Linked DNA regions of Lonchura striata. The protein of the gene in region 2 purifies or fractionates together with the protein of the main gene of each other region. This does not show direct contact. Links are inferred from orthologs where the notes say so. Each region holds a gene or a part of one and is shown on either strand. Other genes may lie near its edges.

Region 1 (7,229 bases), on a different chromosome or scaffold from region 2:
AGAAGAGATACAGAACTATTGCTTCTGCTCACCCTCTGCTTCCTGCAGTTCTTCTTCAGTGGGCCACGTCTGCTCCCCTTCCATGGGATCAGGAACCACTTCTGACTGTAGAGACTCCTGCTTGCTTGGATCTGCCTTCATCAGCACCTTGACATCTTCCTCCATCTCAACAGCACCATTTCCAGAGTCATCCTGAAGGGGAAGAGCAGAGTTCCTAGATCTGAACACACCTAACTGAAGCTTGCAGTCAGTCTCAGGTGAAACTCCCTTCATGATGTCATGACATAACCCTCATTACACACTGCAGGCACAAAACCTCAGCCCAGCAGCAGAACACAGATAGAACTCTCCTTCCCCTCTCCTCACCCACATACCCCCAGCTGTATTTTCCCCAATGAAAGTTTAGAAAACTTATGTTCTAAGAGGACTGGCAAAGCTCTCACCCCACACACCTGAACCTCCATGTCCTGGCTCCTCTTCTGTCCTTTAACCACCCGTGGGTTCAAAGAGAGCGGGTCAGGGGGAGCATCCACCTGGCTCAGCTGGAAGTCCCCATGCCCCACGATGTGCACCAGGCTGTTCACGTTGAGGGTCTGTCCCCGGACAAAGCCGGACACCTTCAGGGTGCCCAGCAGGTCGCTGTCCTGGCTGGGCACAAACTCAGCAGCACGGGCCAGCAGGTGAGCGCGGCGGTCCCGGAAAGCCAAGTGCCTCTGCTTCTGGGAGCTGAGGTGCCTCAGGAGCAGCGAGGATTCCTGCTCCGTGTTCAGTGGGAACAGCTTGGCCTCGGGGAAACGCTTCTCAATGGATTTGGAGAGTTTCTTCCTGGCATCTATCCTCTTCTTAGGGGGCAGGTCAGTGCCTCCCGGGACAGCCAGAGCTGCCGAGCAAAGAACAGAGCTCCCATCAGATCCTAAAACTCCTGATGTTCTTTTTACCAAACACAGGCAAACACTTGGATGTCAGCAGCCCAAATGGCCAGATTTGCACCACAGGTACAAAGGGAGTTTGGTTTTAGTGGTGCCCAGCAGAACAAAGAGCAACAGCCATAAACTGAAATGAAAGAACTTCTACCTCAATATAAGAAAAAAGTTCTTTTCACTGAAGGTGACAGAGCCCTGAAATTTAATTACTGTGACACTCATTCCCCATATTAAGCACCCCCAGAAACCCAAAACATTTCTCACCATAACTGGGGAGCCCCTGTGCAAAGAGGCAGGAGAGGCAGTGTTCCCCTGCACTGTCCCATCCATCCACAGGATCCAGGATGAACAGCAGGGAATCAGCAACCTTGGCAAGGTCTAAAACCGCGTGAAGATCCCCTGCACCCAAAACACCTCCATTAGTGGGGCTGCCAGAGGCACCAGAACCAAGAACCCAAGCAACAGCAGTGCCTCCTCACCTGCCTGGGCTGTGACAAAGTGCCAGCGCTGCTTGAGCTGTGGGCAGAGCAGAGCAAAGCCACCAGCTCCGCCCTCATCTGCACGGACAATGGCCGAGCTGAGGCTCTGCAGCAGCCGCAGCGAGTCCTGCACTGCAGCCCGGCTGTGCAGCAGCACCACAACCACCAGGTGCGGGGGGCCATCCCTGCTGCCAAGGCTGCGCTTCTCTGCCAGCACCTGCGGGTGAGGGCAGCGTGTGAATGCCCCAGGGCAGAGTGTGAATGCCCCGGGGCAGGGTGTGGATGCCCGAGGGCAGAGTGTGGATGCCCAAAGGCAGGGTGTGGATGCCCAAAGGCAGGGTGTGGATGCCACAGGGCAGGGTGTGGATGCCCCAGGGCAGAGTGTGGATGCCCCAGGGCACCGTATGGATGCCCCAGGGCAGAGTGTGAATGCCCCAGGGCAGGGTGTGTCGATGCCCCAGGGCAGCGTGTGAATGCCCCAGGGCAGGGTGTGGATGCCCAAAGGCAAGGTGTGGATGCCCCAGGGCATAGTGTGATTGCCCTGGGGCAGAGTGTGAATGCCCCAGGGCAGGGTGTGGATGCCCCGAGGGCAGAGTGTGGATGCCCCAGGGCAGAGTGTGGATGCCCAAAGGCAGGGTGTGGATGCCCAAAGGCAGGGTGTGGATGCCCCAGGGCAGAGTGTGAATGCCCCAGGGCAGCGTGTGGATGCCCCAGGGCAGAGTGTGGATGCCCAAAGGCAGAGTGTGGATGCCCAAAGGCAGGGTGTGGATGCCCAAAGGCAGGGTGTGGATGCCACAGGGCAGGGTGTGGATGCCCCTAGAGCAGAGTGTGGATGCCCCAGGGCAGAGTGTGGATGCCCAAAGGCAGGGTGTGGATGCCCCAGGGCAGAGTGTGAATGCCCCAGGGCAGGGTGTGGATGCCCAAAGGCAGAGTGTGGATGCCCCGAGGGCAGAGTGTGGATGCCTGAGGGCAGAGTGTGAATGCCCCAGGGCAGAGTGTGGATGCCCAAAGGCAGGGTGTGGATGCCCCGGGGCAGGGTGTGTATGCCCCGGGGCAGAGTGTGGATGCCCAAAGGCAGGGTGTGGATGCCCCGGGGCAGGGTGTGTATGCCCCGGGGCAGAGTGTGGATGCCAGCCCGAACGCGCCTCTTCTCCCGCTCCCGACCCAGGCCAGACTTCCCCACACCGCACCCGGTCCGGTAACCCTCCGCTTGGCCCGAACCGGGCCTGGCACCCGCTCGTTTCCTCCGCAAAAACCCAAACCGGTTGGACTGCACGGCCCGCACGCAGAGCCCCACGGCCGCATTCAAGCCCCCTCCGGCACAGACTCGAGCCGACCCGTTTCCCGCTGCCCCGCCACGACCGGCCCGGTTCCGCCGGTGCCTCACCGCCTCCTTGCGCTGCCGGCGGAGCTGCAGCGCCTGATGCCGCCGGTCCACCCTGCTCAGGTCGCGGAGCCGCCGGCGAGGCTGGGCCTTGACGGGGACGCGGCCTGCGGGAAGAGAACGGTAAGGCCGGCGGAGGGGCGGCGGGGAGCCGGCGGGGAGCCCGTGCCGTCTCACCTCCAGCGCGGCGCTGCGAGGAGCCGCTGTGCTTGCCGCCCTTGTGCGCCTTGTTCTGCTGCTTGAGCGGCCCGGGCCGGTGCGCGCCCGCCGCCGCCATCACCATGCTGCCGCCTCGCCGCCGTGCGCCACTTCCGCAGCGACGGGAACCGCGGGATCGCACGTGGGCGGCGAGAGGGAGGGACCGGGAAAGGAACCCCGGGAAAGGAGCCCGGGAGCGGGACCGAGCCCCGGCAAAGGAGCCGGGGACCGGGACCGAGCCCCGGGGCCGGGACCGAGCCCCGGGAAAGAAGCCCGGGACGGGGACTGGGGCAGGGACCGAGCCCCGGGAAAGGAGCCCGGGAGCGGGACCGAGCCCCGGCAAAGGAGCCTGGGACCGGGACCGGGACCGAGCCCCGTCAAAGGAGACCGGGATGGGGACCGGGACCGAGACCCGGGAAAGGAGCCCGGGAACGGGACCGGGACGGAACCCGGGAAAGGGCAAGGGCGAGCCCCGGGACCGAGACCGAGTCCTGGCAAAGGAGACCGGGACCGAGCCCCGTGAAAGGAGCCCGGGAACGGGACCGGGACCGAGCCCCGTGAAAGGAGCCCCGGACCGGGACCGAGCCCCGTGAAAGGAGCCCGGGAACGGGACCGGGACCGAGCCCCGTGAAAGGAGCCCGGAACGGGGACCGGGACCGAGCCCGGGAAAGGAGCCCGGGAACGGGACCGAGCCCCGGGAAAGGAGCCCGGGAACGGGACCGAGCCCCGGGAAAGGAGCCCGAGACGGGGACTGGGACCGACCCCTGGGAAAGGAGCCCCGGGACAGGGACCGGGACCGAGCCCCGGGGAAAGGGCAGGGGCGAGCCCCGAGGCGCGGAGGGTAGAGCCCCGGGGTTGGTGGCCGTAGTGCCGCTGGGCAATGAGAGGCGGGAGGCAGAGCCGTTCGTTCAGCGCTTTATTGGTTGGTTCTTTGTACAGGTATTTACACGGAGAGGGAGACAGGGCTCGGCCGCGCTCCGGGAAGGGCCGGGGGGATGAAGGAGTTGAGGAAAGGCCCTGCCGAGCGTCTGGCATCGCGCCCAGGCGCCAGGACAGGACAAAGCCTGCCGGAGTGGAAACATTCCTCCTGTCCCCGGTCTGTTACCGCGGTGACCTCGGTCTTGCTAATCATTATCCAGGCAGGAATGTCCGTTCCTAGGCAGAGGCCTCAGCCCCCATGGGACATCACCCCAAACCCCAGCAGAGCCTGCCCCGGGATCACTCCATCGCTAGGTTAAACATTCACAGGGGTGTTGCAATCGCCAGGAAAGCTGAAGCAAGCCGAGGGAGAGCCAGGGCAGCTGCATGGGAAGGGAAAAGCAGGTTCCTACAGGTTCCTGCTGCCTCTGAACTTGAGGCATCTTCCCACCTCCTCCTCCTGAGAGGAAATCAGCATGACAGCAGCAATGTCAGGTTGTCAGCTGTGAATGGTCTTTAGGGATCCTTTCCTACCCCTAAAAGCAGACTGGCTGTTTAAACTTTTGAAACTCTAAATATGAGCACTACCTGAGAGGAAGGAAGACACAAAACTGAAGAGTACTGGTGACAGATGAACACTGCAGTGATTGAGTCTCTCTAAACAGGAATCCAGTGGCTGTGGCACAGCATGAGAGTCTCCCCCAAAGGCTGTTTGCCCACAGCACTGCCTCAGCTCTGCCTTGCAGAGCTAAAGGCAAACAGCCTTAGAGGGGGTTCCAGGGAAGAGGGAAAAGCTAGGATACTTCTAAATCAAGGAAAACATCCCGTGAGTTAGTTATACCTTGTCATTTAAGCAAGAGTAGGGAAAGGAGGAAGGCTGGAAACTCTTCCTAGGGTTATCACAAAGCCAAGCACTTCTGCCTTCCAGTCATGCAGAAGTCTGGAAACCCAGAGGCATCAAGAAGGGTTCCACACCATGGGGGCTGATGAGCTTTGCAATTCTCAGTGCTGCTCAGGCTTTCCCACACATCCATACATTGTCATCTTACAGGGATTTCACTGACCTGCACATTCCTGCAGGGCCCTCCAGACACATGCCACCAAAAAATCACAACCTGCCAAGCAGAGCAAGCAGGAACAGAAAGCCAAGCACTGCCTCACAGCATTCCAAGTGAAAACAAGCATCCCTGTTACAGCAGTAACTACCAAGGAAATATTGCTGCAGTCAGTGTGAGCAGGGAATAACCTCCAGCAGCTGAGATGCAAATCCCTGCAGCAAAGCAAGGCCCTGGCAGGGAGAGGGCTCCTCTCAGCTCTCCTGTACCATCACAATACAGAGCCTGGTGCTCTGCACACACAGGATGCTGTGACAGCACCATACATCACCCATGTTGTCCCCTCTGCACCAAAAAGAACAGGCTTTGTATCAGAGCACAAACCCAGACAAGCTGTGCCATGAGTGGAGCTCACAGGCTGCTCCAACTCTATCCGAATCCCAAAAAGCAGCTGCACTGCAGAAAAGCTGAGCTCACATTCCTGTTCCCTATAGAAGGAGCAGCTGCTTCTGAAGCAGCAAGAACTCTGGGCTGACTCCACACAGGGGGAGCAACAAGCTGGGACAGGCTGGATGCAAAGCCAGGGCCTTGGCTTAGGAAGGAAGACTGGTTGCAACTGGAAGGGCCAGTTTATTAGAGAAACCTCACATTGCAGAGAAGTCACAACACATTGGAAAGGTCCAGGCCTGCTGAGGAGGGCCAGTCTTCTGCAGCAGCATAGATCTACATCCCCCAGCCCCAAAAACCCAGCAGGTGCCACAGAGGGAAGGGTTACCTGGAACACAGCTTATGTTTTACAAGCAGCCTGAGAGAAGGGCCAGTAGTAAAGTTCCAAAAAAAATCCTCCCCGGCAGAAAACAGTTACAACAAAAATGGTTTACAATGTTTAAAAGCTCCGTGTTCTTGGCTGCAGCATAAAGGGGAGGCAAAGGTCTACAACACACACAGGCCTCCGTGGCTCTGGGCACTCTGATCTACCAGTGAAGGCCAGAGGGAGGGGTCTTCTCATCTTTGTTGCTTTCCAGGGAAAAGGGTGGGATTCGGACATCAAAGTGGGAGCCATCAGGCCTCTCAAATCGAAAAGTGCCCCTGCAAAAATAATGGCAGAGGTCACACTGAGGCCAGGGACAAACACACCTAAGACACATCAGCAAAAGGGAAAGACCTGAGCTCTTCCACGTCCTGGGGGTCCATCTGCAAGGCTGGTCCAGCAGCAAGGACATGGGCTCAGCTGCAAACATGTGCTGCCAAGATAACTCATTTATGGAGGACTCCTGGGCAGTTTTACAGCACATCCCTAACATATCTCCTGCACAAAGCTGTGATGATTGCAGCCCATAGCAATCATCACATGCACCCAAGCATCCTCCATGCACCTGCAGTGGTGTTTACCCAACTCCCACTCCCCAGGAGACAGAGCCATCTGAGCTATTTTTACAGACTGGTTACATGTAAATTCAGATTTGTGTTTCTTGGCAGGAGCTCCACAGGTTGCCAATGACATTAAGAAGTCCCATCACAGATGTAATTTGGAATAGCTTCAGCTTTGCATTTCAGAACTGAGCCTGCCTGTCCTGGTACAACCATTTGTTTCCTGCTCTGAACTACAGAACACAACGTGGGCAAGAGGGTTGTTGAGATAAATTAACATGTTCTCAGGACAGAGAGGACACAACTGAACACCAGAAGTCAAGCTGAGCAGCTTCTGAGCTGCAGAACCTTTGTCTCTTTGTTGTCAGGATGTATGCAGAGAGGGAAAAACTACTAGACCATCTGGTTTTATTCCCCAGGGCATCCATTCAGGCAATTCAAAACACTTCACATGACAAACAAGGTACACCCTATATACAAAGAGCTGCTCTCCTGTTTTTCCCAACTCAAAGGCAACTTAACTTTGAAGATTTCCTTTAAAAAATGCAGAAGGACCTGTCATATGGAAGGCAAGAGTTTGCTGTGCAATCTTTGTCCACGCAAAGGTGACACAAATGTGCTAACCCAAAAGGCAAATAAAGACAAGCTGCTTTAATCCCAAAGCACAGGGAAAGAACAACTAAGCTGGGCACTTCTCTCCCAGCACTTACAGAAGAAGAAACTTAAACACCAGTTAGACTGGAGTCCTTACCTGGTCTAAACTAGGAAAACCCCTGCATGACCAATTCCTGACACAGATGTGCACAGAGATGGAGTTAAAGCCCAGCCCTCTCTCAAGAGACACCAGAGCACACATCCCTGCTGCTGAGGAATCACCAGTACAAGGCCTTGGCTCTTGCAC
Region 2 (7,653 bases):
CCTCATGATCTTGGAGGTGTTTCTCAACCTAAATGATCCTGGGATTGTGCTCTTGGAAACTCTTCTGGGCAGCAGTGCCACCACCTGTACCAGACAGGTGTCACCTGCAGTGCCACTGGTCAGTGACTAACTGGGGTCCTCCCAGTCCAACATTCCCTGACAAGGATTCTCCTTCTGGTGCACTTCTCAAAATAGATTAAGAATCCACAGTGCCACCGAGCTGCCCAGCGTTCTTCCTCCCTGCCTAGGCCTCCTAAAAGGGTTTTTATTGCAAATAAAAACCTCCTGTGGGCATTCTCTTCTTTACCAAGCCCTCTCCAAGACCTAACACAGTTTTCTTTTCCACTCATGTGAAAGGCCATGTTTACACTTCTTTAAAAGATGAGGACAAACACATTTCTTATACCATTTTATTTCCAAAACACTGGCTCCAAAATTAACAAACCAAGCTTTTAAATTCAAAGCCGATTTTTAATTATTTTTTTAAAGAGCCCAGTTCCTGCCTAGCAAGCAATGTCAAATTTGGGTGGGGCTACAGAAGTTGCAGTTGTAATGATATCCAAGCCAACACACCCAGATGAACAATGTCTCCCTCACCTTCCAAGCTGTGTTTAACATGAAGTTTGCATGGCACACATAGCTCCCGAAGCATTCCCGACTCCCTGAGGAAACAAGGGGTTAAAGCCAGCAGCCTGCACTGGGAGAAGGGCTCTCCAGTGGGGACAGGCATTCCATGTGAGCAGGAGAAGCAGGGAGAGGAGCAGGCATGCTGCAGAACTGGAATGGAACAGCCACGGCTTTTGAATTTCGAGTTCAACGCCCTGCACTCAGAAAAACCCGGTTCCTGCTGAAGCCTAACCCAAAATACGAGTTATTTCTCAGCATCACCAAGCTTTGAACTGCTAATTCAGCAGGCAAATCACTTGCAGCCTTATGGAGTACTGGAATAGCTTAAAAATACATTCACACAGGAAACAAACCCTGGCATCGAGCACCTTTATGATGCCAAAACTGCAAAAACAGCCACACACTAAAATAGACATTTTCAAACTGGAAATCGACTTTGTTTACCACACTGCTACAACAGCAGCCCCGACTTTCTCTGTTTCACTACCATAACAAACCACGAAAACAGTTATTTTTCACAGTGCTCTTGAAAAAAAGATGTGAAAATCAGAAGGTGAAGAAGAGGGGCTGCCCAAAGGCCTCCTGTGGTGCCAAAGACTCTGCCATGTCCCAGGTGTGTCTCGTGGGAGAATCCTGCACCTCACTGAGGCTTCCAGAGGACACTGGTCTGGCAGATCATTGCATCCCTCGCACAGAAAACGCTCCTAACGCTAATGAGCACGAGATCCACAGGCAATGAGTATTTCTACCGTCCTTCCTACATTTGTCTTCTCTCACAAGGTGCTTTCGAATAACATTTACCACACCCACTTTCCAAAACAAACAACACACTAAACTTATTTCTTTCTCTAACAGCATAAAGCAGTGGAGAAGCAGCATCACTCTGTAGCATAAATGCAGAAGCATTAAGATGCTCTCAGGTAGCACCGTGCTCTGTGAAAAGCTCCTTGAAACTGCAGTTAACCTGTTATCCCCTCGCTCCCACGTCATCTGCTGTCGCCACACTCTGATGGTTTTTTGTCCCAAGGATTCCTTCGAGCCCGAGCTGTGGCCCACCTGCCGAGGGCTGAAGTTGGGGCGCGGTGGAGCTGCTGCCCGCACGGGACGCCATGTGCCCACATCCCTCCCTATCCATGCGCGGCCCCGGCCTCCTAATTCCCAAAGCACGTTCTTCAGTCTGTTTGTAGCTCAGTTCCTTGTTTACAAAGTTTTTCCGTGTAGGGTGTCTTAGAAATTTAGGGGAAACTAAGAATTCGTGCAAGTTGTTATTTAAGAATATATGGAAACAAGAAGATGGCTATCAACGCTGTTCCCCTAGAAAATGACCCAAACAAATTTTGGAAAGCCCAGGAACTTCCAGATATCCTGTCAAACCCATCAAACACGAGTCAAGTTCAGGATACAAGGCCGAATGGGGCTTGGAGCAACCTGGTCTAGTGGAAGGTGTCCCTGCCCATGGCAGCAGGTGAACGAGAAGGGCCTTTCCAACCCGAACCGTTCCAGAATTCCATATGCCGGTTTAGATGGGATACTGGGGCAGGAATTGCTCCCTCTGAGGGTGGGCAGGGGCTGGAGTAGAATCCCCAGAGCAGCTGTGGCTGGATCCCTGGCAGTGCCCAAGGCCAGGCTGGACAAGCCGGGGACGGCGGAAGGTGCCCTACGGCAGGGCTGCAACGGGATGGCCTTTCAGCTCCCTCCTAACGCGACCGCCCCACGGCCGGCATTTCCCAGCTCGCGTGTCTCCCGTCCGCCCCGCACGCCCGACTCCATTTTGCGCGGGCCGAGCCCGGCACACGTGGGGCCGGCCGAGCCCCGCGCCGCCGCCGCCGGCCCCGCGGCCGCCCCGGGCGCGCTCCGCCATGCGCGGCCCCACGTGCGGCCCGACCCTGCCCCAACTCCCTCCCCGCCGGCCGCTCACCCTCCTTCCGCAGCGGCGCTCCGGGCTGGCCCCCGCCATCCTCCCGGCGCTCCCCGCCGGCGAAGGGCGGCAGCGGGTTCTTGCGCTCCTTCTGCGACTCCCTGCGCAGCTGCTTGGCCGCGCTGCCCGCGCCGCCGCCCGCCTGGCCCGCTCCGCCGGCCCCGCCCGAGGAGCCGCTCTGGGCGCCCGCCGGCCCGCGGGCCCCGCCGCCCGCTTGGCTCCCGCCGCCGCCTCCGCCGCTCTCCTTCCTCCGGCTCTCCGCCGCGCGCAGCACCTCGAAGGGATCGGACTCGTCATCGAAAAGCTGATCGAAGCGGTTGGTGACGACGCACCCGAAGCCCTCCTGCAGGTGTCCGGGCATGATGGGCCCCCGTCGGCGGGATCCTGCGCGGATGCTACCGGGCCCCCCGCGCCCTGCTGGCTGCCGCACAAGATGGCGGGCCCTGAGGAGACGCGCTTCTCTTCCGGCGCGGCCACATCCGGGCACCCCCCCACGCAACGGTGGAGAGGGCGCTGCAGCGCCGCCAGCGGCCGCGCCGCGAACTACAGGCGCGCATTGTGTGAGGCGGGCGCGGAGTTTCCCGCCGTGGGCTGTACCATCGGGGAGAACGGGGGGGAACAGGTCGACGGGGGAGGCGGGGGGGGACGCGGGGCGGGGCGGAGCCCCGCACCGCGCCCCCCCCGCCTCCCCCGTCGACCCCCGCGCTTCGCTCGCCGGTGGTACCTCCCGCGTGTGGGCTCGCCTCAGAAATAAAACCTAAATTTAAAAAAAAATAAAGTTGATTTCCAGGCTTTGATCTGAAAGTTTTTTTTCCGATTTCTTCGGCATTTCTGCTCGTCTAATTAAGTGGAGGTGGGAGATGTTTGAGGTATTAATACGTATCAGCATATTACTAACATACAGTATAGATAAATACTGAATATTTCTATCTATAATAATATGTAATGTATGATATAGTAATATCTATCATGATGTGTAATATGTAATAACAATGCATCGTGCATTCTACATAACGTGCAAAGCACACCTAATGTTAACATAAATACACACATAATGTTAACATAAATGCTGTATATTAATCATAACGTATTGATGTAATTATGCATCAACATACCGCTATTATAATATTGATATATTATATATGCACTAGTGTCAGATTATAACCAAAAGGCATTATATCAAGAGATAGATATAAAACATTATATACATATAAAAAACATAATAAACATAATAATGACACCGCCTCATTTATTTATATAAATAAAAAACATAACAGATTGACATGTCCTTCAAAACACAATTTGACTGCTCACAGTTTATATCTCTAAGTCATCAGAACATTTTGGCACCTGTTACAAAATAAACTTTGCGCTCAGCAAGGATGTTATTTCCAACATTTCCTTTGCTTGCTCCCAGAAGCTTGAAATAATTGCTTTAAAAATTAATTTAATTCCATTTCTTCAGTCCTTGAGTGCGTATCGCTCATCAATTCAAAACCGGTTTGGAAAACTACGTAGTTTAGTTTCTTCAAATAAGTGAAAAATTTTTGGGTTCATGGATTGTTCTTCGTTATATATTATATATTATATATTATATACTATACATTATTATACACTATATATTATATATTATATAGTATATATTACATATTGTGTATTATGTATTGTATATTATATGTATTGTATATTTTATATTATATAGTATATCTTATAGAGTATATAATTATATATTACATATTATATATTATATATTATATATTATATTATATGTATTTATTTCGTTATAGATTTTATATTCTATTTCCCTGCAGTCCCACAGGTCCCTGTGCTCACTTCTGGGGAGGTTTTTGAGGAAACCCCTCCTGCAGCAACTCTGAGGGGGATTGCAGCAGCTCCCCACCCTTCCTGGGATATGAATAATCACCATAAATGACACCCTCAGAACTGAACACGTCCTCTCAAAGCCTTTTAGGGATGAATCAAACGGCACCGAGCAGCACCTAATTAAAAGGACATTCCCAGGAAAATCCTGGACGCCCCGTCAGCGCTCCGAGGCGCGTTGTGCCACACACGTATTTTATGGACTGAGGTATTGATGATCCCAAGATTGTAAAAAGTCTCTGGTTTTTTTGCTTTGTTGCCAAAGCAGAAGCCATAATTGGTCTGTGCTGGTTTCCAGGTTGTTTATTCTGTTTATCTCTCACATGTTCTGCTGCCCTGCCCAGCTCTGTCCTGCAGGGCAGCGTGTGGGGCTCTGCCCTCAGTGGGATGTGACAAACATTCAATACCAGAAACTCCCTGGGCTGCATTTACAATAACGTGCCAATATCTGTCACCCACGTTGGACAGTGTGTCCCCAGCCTGAACCAACAGAAAAATGCCAACACCACAGTGAGACATGGAGGGCATGAAGAAGGAGAAAAAGGACAAGGCACACCCAATTTCCTCCATCTTGTCCCCTTTGGACCCCTCATCTAGAATCCTAAAATTTTACTTTTGCACCCTTGCCACACTTAATTATGACTTATATCAAACACTCAGAGCTTGTAATTCATCCTGTGAGATTGAAAACTCTTTTCCATGGCCAGAGATCACAGCCAGTGTCTCTGGGGGCTCTGTCCAGGGGGTTCCTGAGCCCTGCCAGGGTCCCAGGGCAGCCAGGGGGATTCCCTGGATTCCCACAATGGACGAAACACGAACCATTCCCACTTGGATCCCGCTTTTGCCAGATGGCACTGGCAGCTTTATGGGAGGGGGTTTACCCACAGAAATGGGCTCTGAGGGCTGGGATTTGCAGCTCTGAGGGAAGGCAGAGCATCTGCCTTTTGCTGCTTCCCAAGGGGCTCCGCATGTCCGGCTCCCCTGCGCTGTTTGCTCAGAATTCCACAATTTTCCAGCGACACAAGGCTTGGGGCGGCACTTTGGATTAAACACACGCCGAACACGGGACACAGGGAATGGCTTCCCACTGGCAGGTGGGATATTGGGCAGGAATTCCTGGCTGGGAGGGCAGGCAGGCCCTGGCACAGGTGCCCAGAGGAGCTGTGGCTGCCCCTGGATCCCTGGAATCTCCAAGGCTGGGTCGGAGCAGCTTGGGAGAGTGGAAGGTGTCCCTGATCCAGATGGTCCTTTCCAACCCAAACCATTGCATGCTCTGATGAAAACAGACTGGAAGTGTTTAATACACAGAGGGAGATGGATCACCACGTGAACACAATCAGCGGAGTCGTGCATTCTGGGCAGCAGGAAGCAGGAATTGCAGCCTGCAGGAAGCTCCAGCTCTGCTCTGGGATGTCACACGCTGTGCTTGCACGCTGCTGTTTGCATTAATCAGCCCCACAATCAGCCACATGGGTCAAAAGTCCAAAAGACAACGTTGTGCATGAGTATAATTCACAGTTTTCAGGCACTTCCAGCCTCAAGACAATATTATCATTCCTAACATTAAAAAAAGGGTGTTTAAAATATTTAAACTAAAAGGAAGCCTTTACACCAAGAAGATCCTAGAGCTGCACCCACACAAGACTCGTTGCTCATGTGAAGGACCAGGACAGGACAGAAGCCACCTGTGTTTAGGCCAAATTTGAAAAACAACCCATTAACTGCACATTGAAACGGATGAGTTTTCCCCAGGGGACAGGCACAGCCTTGCAGGAATCCCAGCCCACACTGGATCAGGACACAGATCTGCAGCCAGCTGAGGCGAGGATGAGTGGCAGCACTCAGACAGTGAGGGAGTGATTAAAAAACTTAAAAAACACCCCGAGATCCTCCAGGAGCTGCCACCAAAAGCTGGGCTGGGTCTTCCTGCACGACAGACGCGTGTGTTCTCCTTTCCCACCGAGCAAACCGGTGTTCCCAGTGGCCAGAAGAGCAGATTCCCAGATTCCCAGTGCTATTTCTGGCTGGGACACGCAGAGCTCCGTGGCCCATGGATATCCCACCTAAGGAGCTGCTCCCGAGCTGCTGCCCAAAAGAGGCCTGGAGAGCCTTTGGACACGCCACGCTCCTCTGCTATTCCCAAGCTTTGCCAGCAGCTGTCAGCTGCCTGCTTAATAAGCAGGAATAGGAAATGCAGCAAGTTCACAGCAGGGGGAAAAGTATTCAGCCGGGTCCTTGCTCCATCCCAAAACCACGGTTTTCCTGATTTTGTACTCTTTGGATCTGTGTTGTGGGGTTTTCAGTAATTTCGCTGTCAGCATAGGCAATGTGTGGACAAGGAGGATGTTGCTTGGAGATTTTTTTGACAGGAAGCTTCCCTTAGGTTGGACTCCGTGGTCTTGGATGTCTTTTCCAGCTTTAATGGTTCTGTGATTCCAGGCCACAGGAAATAAAGGGATTGCTTCCAAATAAAGTCGAGTATAGCCACGACTTCTGAGCATGAAATATTTCACATGCATCACAGAGAAATGTAGCAACTTCTCAGCTTGCATCCACACGTGGATCCCTTCTGAGAAGAGCTGCCAGAATTAACCAGCACTGCCCAGCTGGACAGCAGGAATGAGCAGGAGAAGGCAGAGCTCACGAGGAGATCCACGATCTGCAACGCACCTCTTTATCCTCCCACATATTCTGCTCATTTCAGCACATCACTAGTTGCTGCTTCTTCTTTTTTTTTTTTTTTTTTTTTTAATATGGCAGAAAACGCAGCAGTTTCATTATGAGGAGGGCTGTAAACATGTGAATAACAGCAGAATTTCTACCCTAAGTACGTGCAGTGAAAAATGCCCTCCCACAGCATTGCTCTGTGCTTTAAAATGTGCACAGACAAGCAAAGCAAATCATGCAGACACAGAACTTGGCTTGTAAATCAAGGCAGACTAATTGAGCTCTGCCTGAACTTTCTTCCCCTGAATCCTAAACAACCTGCCGAGCAAGTGTTCTTCCTTGGAGCAGCCAAGGTAAGAGGTATTTTTAGTTTGGAAAAGCAGCTCTGGAGCTGTACGAAGCAGAAGGTCGGGTACACCAAACACTCCTTCTGTCGCTGCTATTTCTGTGAGCTGGGCTGATTCCTCTGAGCTGTGCTCCAGCCACCCCTTCCCTGCCTCTCCAAGCTGTGGAATGGTGGTGCCAGGAGGGGCTGGGGGATGGAATCATGGAATCACAGC

What was found. The genes of interacting proteins can lie anywhere in the genome.
Region 1: the proteins of SERBP1 (region 2) and TSR1 purify together in Homo sapiens (affinity purification with mass spectrometry; 3 studies listed by BioGRID and IntAct, with this or other methods). This does not show direct contact. The link is inferred for Lonchura striata from reciprocal best matches to the Homo sapiens genes SERBP1 and TSR1.

What each region holds. Positions count from the first base shown.
Region 1 is NC_134622.1:7,226,444-7,233,672, forward strand, and holds the start of TSR1 (pre-rRNA-processing protein TSR1 homolog), read right to left. Parts: upstream 3,092-7,229; 5' UTR 3,070-3,091; coding exon 2,964-3,069; intron 2,894-2,963; coding exon 2,790-2,893; intron 1,620-2,789; coding exon 1,403-1,619; intron 1,323-1,402; coding exon 1,188-1,322; intron 881-1,187; coding exon 453-880; intron 193-452; coding exon 33-192; intron 1-32. Other genes in the region: POLDIP2 (polymerase delta-interacting protein 2), read right to left, coding at 5,932-6,046. UniProt on the Homo sapiens protein: Required during maturation of the 40S ribosomal subunit in the nucleolus.
Region 2 is NC_134611.1:5,097,195-5,104,847, reverse strand, and holds the start of SERBP1 (SERPINE1 mRNA-binding protein 1), read right to left. Parts: upstream 3,013-7,653; 5' UTR 2,907-3,012; coding exon 2,546-2,906; intron 1-2,545. UniProt on the Homo sapiens protein: Ribosome-binding protein that promotes ribosome hibernation, a process during which ribosomes are stabilized in an inactive state and preserved from proteasomal degradation.